Linked DNA regions of Bombyx mori. The protein of the gene in region 1 interacts with the protein of each later gene in a pairwise test. Links are inferred from orthologs where the notes say so. Each region holds a gene or a part of one and is shown on either strand. Other genes may lie near its edges. The genes, in order: protein mothers against dpp, Ubx and mitochondrial thioredoxin 2.

Region 1 (4,184 bases):
TACATAATGTATGTATGTCCCTATATGGTTTACTTATTTTATAAATGCCAAAGTTTGGGAGGATTAATAGATATTTGGTACTCTTTCACACAAAAACAACACGGCACGTCCTTACGGATCCACCAGATCCATTAATCTCAGCACTAGACGCCTTTAGTTCTAACACTAGGAGCAGGTTCAGGGACCCTGGAAACCGTAATCGTCGAGCTCGGCAAAGAGTTTGACGTGCAACCTAACCCATATAGGTACATATCAGCCCGCTAAGTTTCTCTTCGGCTCTTCTCAGCGGATCGTCCGATCCGGTAGTAGATTCATTGGTGAAAACTTCACTGGTTTTTAACGTGTATGCATATGATACTACTATCATGATAAAGTACTTGATCCAGGCAAGAACAAAAAAATCATTCGCTATAGTAAAGACGACCTTGTACCTATTCTCTGGTTCACGATTTTACGTAGATACCAAGGATCTACAAATAGACTGGTTATGGACGAGAAAGATTGAAAAACAACTTTTTATCTCGGGAAAATATATGAATTTTAGTATTAATGAATTAGAAATGTATCGCAGGTAAAACCGCGGTGCACGTCTAGTAAGATTTGTAATAGTAACTCGTTTGCGTTATATGTATGATAATGTTTCCAAATTCCCGCTATAAATTAATTTAAAAAAAACTTTCCCTGGCTTTCCTGAGTTTAAGACATACGAGTAATTGAAATAGCTGTTACGTTTTAATACCCCGTATTTAATTCTCAATAAATGATTAGTGACGTTTCGAATACGTAATTTTCACCCATAGTAGACCCCTAATAGACTCACTCATAATTTTAACTTTCAGCAAGTTTCGTACAGTGTGTCAGATACTACATATTATTATCATATTAAATTAAACATGTGATTAATACTTATTAAAATATAAATATAAAATAAAATCATAACCTCGTTAAATATTTTTAAGCATTGTAAATAAAGTAACCTCTACTCTGTTATGTACTAATCACGTTTTACTGATTATCAGCTCCGGCAATGCATATGGCCGTTGAAAACGAAATAACATTGAAGACTCTGATCGTCGAAGACGGATCCAAGTATGGACGCTGCTACTGTTCGTGTGACCTGAATAGCAAGCCAGTCTTCATTAGCTTGGATGGAAGTGCTTTGAAACCTAGACGATGAATCCATAGATATACCTCCTAATTAAGTCATTCTTATCCATCTATAATCCATACTAGTTACATAAATAATACAGTAATACAAATAAAACTATTATCAATTCTATATTCACCCGTACCCTAATTTAAGTACTACTATTATAAAAGCTTGTAACTAAATGATAAGCGTACTTTTTACAATGCCAAGATGTGATGTGTATCGATATAACCTTTTTAAAGAAAGAAGATCCAATACGTCTTACGCTAGTCCTTGTGGTCTAATGGATAAGATGCCCGGTACAATCATACCAACCACTACGGCTATCCGTAGCTAGGAGCTAGGAACTAGGAGCTAGGGTATAGACCTTAGGTCAAATCCCGCATGCTAGCACCAATTTTCTTAGGAAATACTTTTCAGATCTTCACGTACAACTTGCACACATACATACTCACTCGCATTTAATACCAAAATATATATTTTTTAAATAATCACGAGGCTGCGCAAATTATTATTTGAAAAAAAAAAAAAAGTTTTTTCATTTGAAATTTGTCTCTATTCATTTAGTTTACAACTTATTTAACTTTAGGCGAGTCACGAAAATCCATATTCGGAAATCTGTTTTATTTGCCTCAGTAAATTATAAAACATTCAGTATACGATGAAGAAGGTGGTTATTAGAAATAATAAGTGTATTATGTATGGTTATTAGATACACAGATTATTTTAATAGTTGTGATTAGATAATTATAAACAATACTGGGGATAAAAAGATGCCACTGCCTCAGAAGTAATAGTGTTCTGTGCCACGGCCTCCGGTGTCTACAATTATGTGTCAGTGATTCGATTATTCTGTCACTCGAATTCGATCTATCGCTAAAATTAGTTTATATAGTTTAATTCTAGTTATTAGTGACATAGAGTATGTTGCTATTCCGACAGAATATTGATGGCAACATTAACAGTAACGTCAAAAAAGGAACTGGTTAATTAACTGGCATTCTAGTTGTTGCGTTTTAAGCGTTTTATTTTTTATAATCTTGAATAAATTTTGTTATCTAAGGAACTTCTGTTGGACAGTCATTGAATTAAAAAAAAAACCGCGTTCTTGATGAATGTGTAAACAAGTGATTGAAATTGGAGGCCGTAAATCATAGTGGGCCGGACGCTTGGCAATTGTCACGCCAATCTTGTGGAGTTCGTAATTAGCCCGGGACACCGTGGGGAATACCGAATTGCTGATCGATGGTGTGTCGGTTGCCGCGGTGACTGTGGGGACGCGTGTGCCTTTGGCCGGTGACTCATAACAGGACGTAGGGATGGACACTGACGATGGCGAGTCTTCAAGTAGCGGGCCTATGTCTAGCCTTAACAGCCTATTCTCATTTACCAGTCCCGCTGTCAAAAAACTACTTGGCTGGAAACAGGTAATCAAATTTTTTAATAATTATAAAACCTATATCTCACATTGAAGTTAGGACTATTGGTATTGATATGGTATTATTTTGACTAAGCATAAATGTCTAAAAAGCGACAACTTACTAACAGAAATGAATGTACTTCTCATATCTTCTGTTAGTACAATTACAATGTCTTTATTTCAATGAGACGAGAAACAGTATTTAAATTTAGCATTTAGTTTGTATTCGGTGTTTATAACTAAACTGGCAAACGATCGGCAAGGACAGAGATCAGTGGAAAGGACTGGAGGAGGCCTTCACCGGAGGAGGGGTCCATATCCAATAACAAAAATTAACTCGTACTAACATTTAGACAAAAAGCATTAATAACTAACTAAACACTAACAAATAAATACCACATTTCAAATGAAAGTTAAGGATAAGGAAATAGGCTTTTTTTTTGTTTTTATTTTTATTTTTTATTATTTTTTTATTTTATTACCTAAACAGATGAGATGTTTTGTCAACTTCACTATAAAACATATGCCTAAGGGTTTGACTAATGCTTATTAGTGCCTACCATCGACCTAATGATCTGATTAGCATCTCTGTAGGTATTTTTGTGATATCAACCCAATGGCAATAGGGGACCTTCGATTAGCAAGTGTGATGAGGATTCTTAGTAGTGATAGAGTAACTAAGTAGGGATTGTGTGTATGTAACATATCAGTACTGCAATATTCTCTTTGCTTCCTTCTGTTTGAGATATCCACTAAAATATTAAGTATTTGTTGTATTAAAATCCATTTCGTCAAGGATTTCAATTATTATCTATAAGCTATAGTCTGACGGGTCAGATAAAATTGTGGGAAACAAATGTATTAATAAAGTAACTAAAAGTGAATAGACATTACTATTAGTATATGTAAATTGATATACTAATGACAGTTAAATGAGGTGTAAGCTAGACTGACTGCATACCTCCAGAATCTTCTGAAATCTTATTGATGAAGAGGTGCCAAAAAGTAAAGATAGGATATTTTTTCAAATGTAAATAGCATAGAACATCAGATTCAATATCATACTCAACATGTGTCTACAAACCTCATTCACAATAATGCATTAATTTATTAAGGAAAAATAAAGGTAAATATTATAAATTTGGATAATGAGGTCGAGTATTTTAAATATATTGTTCCATGTCTTTCAGTTGTAAAACAGTAATGCATTTTACTTTCAAAGTTGTGAAAACCTTTATACAATAATAAGAAAAAAGAATCTGTTAGTGCCTATCAGCAAAGTTAGAAGTGTCAAAATTAATTCTGCAATCTACAATTTCTGTACTGTAAATAACTGGGTCATTTTCACAGGCATTCTTAAAATAAGCAAGATTAAATCTTTATGTTTCATTCCCAATATGTGCCACGTTTTTCCATGTACTTCTCATGAGCACCAGTCTAGTGCTATGAATCAATAAATGATAGGAATGAATATCACATTTCTACAGCAATAGCCTGAAGTTCGAATAAACAACTGAATTTTACTGAATACTGGCTATTGTTGCTTTCAAAGACAAATAAGCATGCAACTGATGTTGAGTGGTTACCATTAATGATAGACATGCGTAACGTCAC
Region 2 (4,396 bases), on another chromosome or scaffold:
TAAATATGTACTAGGAATTTTGACAGTATTTCTGTTTTTGTACAGTAATAAGGTAAAATAATCTGCTATATGTAATTGATATTTTTCAATATCAAGTTTTGAAGAATCGGAATGTGTAAAAGCCTCTACAGAACGAATGTGCACCAAGTAAGAAGAGAAAGATTCAAGTCGCTGTTTGAAGGGTCATAATAATTGTCGTATGATTGAAAATGAAAATTATTCCACCAAATAATTTTTCTTGTTTTTATTTTGTTCCATTTAAAAACCGCTTGTAACAAATTTAAAAAAAAGAAGTCCACGGCCCTGTAATTTAAGTCCTCAATTATATAGCAGTAAGATCGGGAGCATGTGATTGCAATTTCGAGCTTCAACTTATACCGTATTTATCGTTTGCTTCACTAAATTAGTTACATTTACAGCTCCACAATTTTTTTTTCTTTCTATATTTATAGGAATTTATACCAAATTACCTATGTTTTAGGTATTTATACCAAAAAAGGTTTACTTTACAGGTATTACAAATTAGCAAACTGTCCAAATGAACAGCAGGGACCGTTCATGGACAAGCCCGAACTTTTCATACATGCCACGTCCAACAAGCGTCCTTGTATTGTTTCGCGGCCTGTGTTGCGTGAACCCACAGTGAATTATAGCCGACGGTTCGACTTCTCATTTTATTTTGTTATTTTTTAGGCCCTGTTACTTAATTTTTATCAAGTCGCATGAATTATGACGAGGCGGGACCACACGCGTAGCATTAATTACTCGTCGCCGGCCCAGGTGAACTAATCGATTCAATCGAAATTCGAATAGGACTTCTTTTCCAGAAAAACTACTACGAATGAGAGAGAATCGATTCTTATAAGACTTAAATTCTAATCTATACCAACTAATATGCCGTATTAGATATTTTGTAAAACATTTTTAAAGCGTTATTTTATCTTTTAAGTGCATGAATTGAATGTTTACCGAAACGTATGTTTGAAGATTGAAGCGCTCTTAATGGGATGGTCATTTGTCGAATGGTCAGTGGCAGTAAGTTAATAATAATGCGCCCAAAACTAGACCGGGCCATTGACCCGGGCGGGCGGCGCGGGCGCACCTCTCCTGCCTCGTTGGGCCACTAAAATAGCGCTTTTTGCTTTACTTTATGCCTACACAATCAATTTTGAACCTGAAAAATTTCATCTTAAAGTATGTGTTAAGTATTGAAGGATTGTTAAACGTTTTATTTATTTTTAGATAGTAATAAAATAAATATACAACTTTTAATAATAAATAACTTTTATTTTATTTTATTTCTTAGCTTTATTAATGTATTTATAAAATTAATTTAAATTGTTATGGGTCAGAAAAGAGAACACAAGTAAATATCGACAACATATTTGTCTCTTTATTTTACATTCTCTCGAAATATTTTAGTGTTTTGTCGTCCGGTAAAAAAAGTAGGTATAATATGTTCTGCTAAATCTCCGTATAGTCCAGTCCAAGATTAAATCGTATTTTAATTCACAAACCTTGTTAGTTTTGTTCCAAAAAAAATTTTAAGACACGAGAACTTTATTTCAAATAATCCAGTTCCATAGCTCTATAATTTATATACCAGTTCCGTTGCTACGAACCATCAACATTCAGGAAGTCTACACCAAAGATTTTATGATCAAATCACTGATATCAATTTATCGTTACAAATTAGTAATTTGGAGGATCCTGAGTTTTGTCCGCAATAAAATTATTAATGGTACTCAAATCTGTCTCACTAATAAGGTGTTAACGAGGGTCGTTCGTTTTATGTGCTTTTTATTGACACTTGATTTGTCGGCTACCTGCCGGTTAGTATTGGACTCTTAGGAAACATTAATGGACGATTCTGAAGTGGCCCGATTATGTGTGCCAAACAGGATGGCAGCATTTTAGTGATTTTTACGGGGTATCGGACGTGACATATTTTTGTTACGCCTCTCATTTCCACTTATGTATATTAAATGTTGACGAGTTTTTTATGGGAAACGCAATATATTTTTAAATATAGAATCATAAATTTCAGTGATATTTGTAAACAAATATGTAATATACAATATTAATAGGTAGAGACTTCGGCAATTAATTTTATCAAAAAAAAAACTGCACCTACGATCGCAATAATACACTTCAATCGAATATGCAATTTCGAAAAGGGCACATGTCGCATATTTTGTCAAATACGTTTTTTCATATACATGTAGTTTTGAGGCTTACCTACACCCATTTTATAATAATTCCCGTAATTTTCAATTGCTAATTAACACTTAAAATATATTTCAAAAGTTAATATTTTAAATTTTACACTGCTTTAGAAAATAATCAGTTTTTTTTCATTTCCTGAACATTTTACATTTTCAGAGGTGTGCCCTTTTCGAAATTGCATATTCAATTTATATAGAGTTGTGATCGAGATAATTTTTTTTAACTTACTAACCTGCTATGGCCATCCAAGGGTAGAAAGTGTGGTTAGTAGGCTGCTGGTGCACTGGCTGCGCGGCTGATGCTGCTGATCCCGGAAGTGCACACTGGTTGCCCCACGGAAGCGCTCTACCAGGACTTGACGACTCACTGTATCGAGCTTCAGGAGTGCATGCTGCCGGCCTCACTAGTGCTCCCAGACCTGAGCCCCAGGCTTCTTTCCCACCATAGCCATTCTGCTGCTCACCGCCTGGCTTTGAACAATCTGCTTTAGGATATTGCTGCTCTCCAGCATAGAGCTTGCAGGCCGCCGCGACAGACGCGTCGTACGGTGAATCCTGAGGACGAGGCTGGTGCAAAGCGTGTGGCTGTGCATACGTGAGGCCCAGAGGGAAGCCGCGGTACTGGTCTCCACCACCGCCGCCCTGGTGCACTCCATGGGCCCCGTAAAAACCACCCTGCTCGAAGTAAGAGTTCATCGTGACCAGTCACAGGCACTAACGTCACTCAGGGAACACTTATGTCATCGCGGCCCCGCGCGCCGTGATAACGCGACCTCCGCCAATGTCACACCAAATACGGACAACGTAATTTATTTTTATTAATTTTATTGCCTCTTAAACGTCACTAAAGCGTCATAATGGGCTTCGTCGGCGATAAAGGCCAGTTGACGTGTGTTTACTTTTTACGATTATTTTACGACTCGGGAGCGCGTGCCGCGGGTTTTACGACTTTTTAAGCGGTTTCGTCTGCGGCGCCGGCTCGTCTCAGGACGTCAGCCGAGAGCGCGTCTCCACTGTATGAAATCAGAAGTGATCGTGGTGGTGTATGGGCCGGAGGCTTGTGTCGCGAGCGAAGTTTTCCGTCGCGTGTGGCGGGAGCGCGCGGCTGTGTGTCGTGTGCGACCGGCGCGACGCGGCTCACGCAATGTACTGAGCGCGGCTGAGACACGCGCGCCGCCCCGCGCTCACTGCTACCATCGCAGCCCAACGACTATTGTTCCGTCCCCTTTTCGCTAATCACTATAAATATTATCAGTTACGCTCTCTTTTCCTTTCCTTATCACACCCACTCGAGCACGTGGCGAACGTTCGTCAAACAAACTAGAACTTTAGCTGCTCTACTTCAGAATACCTAGGTTAATAACTGACATTTATATGACTTAAGAGAGAACTCAATAACATCAAATCCTATTATAAACTATATGTTTTCTTTTAACAATTTATGTATCTTCGGACGACCGCGTAACAAAACTTTTGAAGAGCCTCAACAAAAGCCTCAAAAATGAATAGAACGAAAAAGTTAAGCCGCAAAAGTCGTAAACTCATAAACGTACAATTAGTGAAACGGGCGAGTAAAGAAAAGATTTTACAGCCACTCGTCGACCGTGCCACAATGAGCGTTCAGTATCGTAACAAGGTGCTGAATAGAGTGAGAAGTCGTAAAGATGATTATTATTTCTTCTACTACCTGTTTTTACGAGTGATGTTTCTATTGCTCTCTTGCTTAAGGCGCCCGTTCGAGAGCGAAAGGGACAGCGCGTCGAGCGCGGAACGGTTATCATCCGAGCGGGGCTGATTAGTGTATAGCGGTCTTGGTCTCGCGCTGTGTAGCGCATGCAGTGGACAACGCACTATCGGAGGGTAAACAATAGCGCATTATCGCGAGTTCACTTCGCGCGACCAAATGAAGTCGTCAAACGAATGAATGGTGCGCCCTACCCTTAAGAATTGAACGCATTTTTATTGCGCCTTCGTATGTAAATATTTCCTTTAGATCCGGGTATTGAGACGTTTTTTTATTTATTTATTAAAAATGATATATGTAAAATGACAAGTTTAACACTTTTATTTTAATTAATAGATAATGGTGGTTTACGTTTCATGAATTAAATATACTTAAATTTTTTATGATTTTTTAAAACTTACCTTATTTCAGGTTTTCGTTAACTTGC
Region 3 (4,226 bases), on another chromosome or scaffold:
TAAAATTAAGAATATAAAGTAAAATAAAACATGACTTAAAGGTATTAGTTACCAGGTCATAAAATCTCTTAAAAAAAAATCATCCCTAAAATAACCTACAATTGTTACACGCTCTTTCAGTTGTAGTAAAAATTTTTATTCAACCAATATCAATTAAGTTATGTTATGTGATTTATGTAAAAGAAGTAACAATATAATTAAATTTTAATAAACTATAATTGAACTTTTACTAAAGCTACCCTTACAGGGTATTTTGTATAAAGTATATAAATAAGCCGCTATGGTTAAAAGGAAAGGAAAAAAAAACAAACATAACAATAAAAAAAATAAGACAAAGCTGAATCTATCAGTATCTTCCGAAGTACTAAACGATCGCAAACAGGAAGCAGAAGGAAACGAGGAGGACGATGAAATTGAATCGAAACCTGCGGCAGTTAAGCGACAACACGTTGATGACTCCGATGCAGAAGAAACACCGCGTAAAAAGAAAAAGAAAAAGCCCGTTATTACCGAAACAACTGATAAAAAAGGTAAAAAGTCGATACGACAAACAAAGAGAGAAAACTATCTTAAACGTCAAGCCCAAGCTGCAGAACTTTCAAAAAATCAACTCAAATCTCAGTGTCTCAGCTATCTTTCTCAGTGGAAACATGACAAACAAAACTGGAAGTTCATGAAAGTTAAACAGTTATGGCTACTTAAAAATAAGTTTTCCACTAATTTAGTACCTGATGAATCTTGGCAGACCCTAATTGAGTATTTTGAATCTGCAAAAGGGAATGTACGCACATTATTGCTTGAAGATGCAAAAAAAGTCATTAAACAAATGGATGAATGGACAGAAAAACATGGTCAAAGTAATACACAAGAAATAGATGAAGAAAACAGTGAAGAGAATACAACAGAAGAGACTAACAAACCTGATGAAGTTACATATAAGAGAGCTCGAGATTTAATACAATGTCTTGAAGAATAAATTAATTTTTTGAATAAAACATTTATTAAATTAAGAATCTACATTGGTAACAAAGAAAAATATATCATTTCATTTTATTAAATTAAGCTTTTATTTCTGCTTTAGTTTCTTCAGAAGCAAACTGTTCAATCCACTTGCGTAGTTTATCAGTATCTTGCAGTCCAACTAAACGGTTTTGTACTTTCCCATTCTTTATCGCTACTAAGACTGGTACAGAGCTTACTTCATAATCTAATGCTAAATCAGTTTGTTCATCAATGTCTACTTTTGCCAAAACCACCTTGCCTTTACTTTCTGCTATTATAGACTCAAGGCGAGGAGTAAGTAGTCTACATGGGTTGCACCACCTGTAAAAATATTACACATATTTTGGGATTACCTTATTAAGTGCAGTAGGCACAACTTGCATATAAGTAGCAATTACATTATCCAAGATAAGGCTATGCATATGTGGATGGTCTCAACATACAAAGGAGGGTATCAAAGGAGGTATACTATACAGAAAATGTGATGTCATAACACAATTATTCTAAACCCATATACTTGTTCTCTTATACAGTATTTAGAAAACCACAAGGTATTTAAAAAAAAACTTAACATTCATATCAGAGTACATAGATATAGATAAGATAAATGTAATAAAAGAAAACCAGAATTTTGATGTTGTTTTAATATGTTTCTGACACCAACCCTCCTTAAGATTAGAAAATCAGGAGAGTATTTTGGAAATTAGGTTATCACATTTAAAATACAAATACTGAAATGGTAGTAAGTAATGACTAAAAACACAAGAGTTATATATCTGTATATGTATATCTTTTAGTTAATATCATAACAGATACAAGTTCCTTTGTGGTTAGTAGTACTTAATCAACAAATTATCAATAAGTAACAACAATGTGCATTTTTTTAAATTTTTACTGATAGATTTATGACAAATGTAAACATAGATATTTATTATTACACAACTGTAGTGTCAGCCTACTAATAGAACCACTGCATTTCTTCCCTTGGGTACTGTAAAAGGCAAAAATTGTAAAACTGAAACAGTTGGAGTATTCTACCAGCATAATGATCATAGTGAGCTGGAGTAGGAGATATCTTAAACCCTTTTAGTTGGGTACCTCTTTCTGCCGCAAAGTACTTATGTGTTCTAATTGACAGGGTTTCAACTTTTAAGCAATATAACTTTGACCTCAAGTTTTGAGATGAAGACATTGCTATTGTAAAGTCTATAAGCTCAAGCTTTCTGAGTTAAGCCTACTGAATATACACACCAACCATTATTTTACCATATTTCTTTTGTACATGTTTATTGAGGGTATATTTTTAACCATAATTAGCATACAACATTAATTGACATTAGGTCATTTCATTGATATTAATTTGCAGACAATTAATGACTACTTATCCCACGTTTACTGTACCTATTTACGAGGTACACATAAAAAACGATAGCCAATTAAAACTTACGTTGCAAAGAAATCGACAACGACGGGAACTTTACTATTAATTACTTTTTCTTTGAAGTCATCAGTACTCTGGATTTTCACAATGTCGTTTTTCGACGCAGTTAGAGAGAAATTTCTCAAAAACCCATAATTTTTTTTTAATGTACAATTTCGAATGAATAAGTTAGTAATATTTTTGGTAAGCATTTTGTAAAAACAATGCACTATGCAATATTGCAAATTATTTGGTAATAGAAAATGGGATCAATTTCCAGTATATATAATCTATGATAACTACCATAGATTATTTTTTTTGGTAGTTTTTCCTTATTAGGAAAGGCAAGGGGATCTAAGCCCATACAGCTTTTGAAAAGCATAGACATTAAACATAGATTTGAGAGTGAAAAGTCATAAATTATTTGTATTACCTATGGTACCAAGTTGTTCTCTATGGAAGATGGATTAAAGGTCTCCCAAGTCATAAAATGTTAAAAAATTTTTGGAAGCGACCATCTATATTAGACTTAGTTACTTTGGCATAACGTTAGATTTTACCCGCTTCTTCGTTTATATAGAAAGTGAAAATATTTTTGAATAATAGAATGTTAAGGAGGTATTAATGAAGGTACCAAAATCACGCTTTTTAACCGACTTCAAAAGAGGAAGTTATCAATTCGACCACAATTTTTTATCTATGATATATATGTTCACAAATTTTTGGAGAATGCTTGAACCATGGAGTCAATAATATCTACAATAATACTAAGTATATGGTTTGAACCAATTCCGATAATTATTTTTTCTTTTTTTTGTTCGAAAGAGTAGACTTCCCGAATGATCATGTAATCATTAAGATCTGATGATGGGAACCTAGAGAAATCCAGAAAAATCTATAATTTTCAAAGTCTACCTTGAAGTGATTTGGGTGTTTCTTGTTATTCTTCTCTGTGCCGCAGCACGCCGGCCGGTCGGCGTCTCGTACCTCAATATTACGCGCTTGGTAATTATTATGCTGCGATGTTATTTTAAAACTGCGATATCTTCTCATACTCATTAAAATCAAATGAGGGGAAATTTCTTTAAAATTAATTGTAATGAATAACGTAATTGTTTGGACAGGGATTAATATCATCTTCATAAAATTTGGTTAGTATAAAAAACGTTATAGTGAGCAAACATAAAAATATAGATCCGTCGTAGTAGAAAAGGTTTTTTAGAACTTTATAGGAGAACAATTTGGTCATACATTGTTTTAGCGAAACTTTAACCGTTTCCACAGCGCACGCAGCAGAAGCTTTCAAAACAGAAAAATACCCTCATTTTGAAATGTTTCAAATTTTCTTTATTGGTGCTCCGCTTGTAGTGGTCTTAGCATGATGTTATATAGCCTCTATATAGTATTTCTGAATGAATGAGCTATATAAAACTAAAATATTTTTTCAAATCGGACCAGTAGTTCCTGAGATTAACGCGTTCAATCAAATAAACAAACAATCTATTGTTCTTAATTTTCACGTCATTTCAGATCCTCCCAATCCACTAACGGTGCTTTTAGGTATCCCAAGCACCAGTCATCGTTCTCGTCGAATGACGGATGGCTCGGCTAGTAAATTAACCTAAAGACACAGCCCACTGAGTTTCTCGCTGGATATTTTCAGTGGATCGCGTTTCCGATCCGGTGATAGATTCTGCGAAGCACGGTTCTTACTGGGGTTCGTGTTAGCAACAACGTCAAATTTGAGCCCCGTGCGCTCACCCTGATATGGTATCTCAAGACCATCAGCTTAGGTAGGAAAACA

Evidence for each region.
Region 2: the proteins of protein mothers against dpp (region 1) and Ubx interact in a protein complementation assay, tested with the Drosophila melanogaster proteins (2 studies listed by BioGRID). The link is inferred for Bombyx mori from reciprocal best matches to the Drosophila melanogaster genes Mad and Ubx.
Region 3: the proteins of protein mothers against dpp (region 1) and mitochondrial thioredoxin 2 interact in a two-hybrid assay, tested with the Drosophila melanogaster proteins (2 studies listed by BioGRID). The link is inferred for Bombyx mori from reciprocal best matches to the Drosophila melanogaster genes Mad and CG8993.

Annotation. Positions count from the first base shown.
Region 1 is NC_085118.1:1,282,742-1,286,925, reverse strand, and holds the start of protein mothers against dpp, read left to right. Parts: upstream 1-1,232; 5' UTR 1,233-2,469; coding exon 2,470-2,577; intron 2,578-4,184. Other genes in the region: pneumococcal serine-rich repeat protein-like, read left to right, coding at 1,020-1,177.
Region 2 is NC_085112.1:6,103,861-6,108,256, forward strand, and holds the start of Ubx (ultrabithorax), read right to left. Parts: upstream 2,922-4,396; coding exon 2,459-2,921; intron 1-2,458. UniProt on the Drosophila melanogaster protein: Sequence-specific transcription factor which is part of a developmental regulatory system that provides cells with specific positional identities on the anterior-posterior axis. Binds the consensus region 5'-TTAAT[GT][GA]-3'.
Region 3 is NC_085117.1:14,774,941-14,779,166, reverse strand, and holds mitochondrial thioredoxin 2, read right to left. Parts: upstream 2,703-4,226; 5' UTR 2,635-2,702; coding exon 2,450-2,634; intron 1,324-2,449; coding exon 1,059-1,323; 3' UTR 977-1,058; downstream 1-976.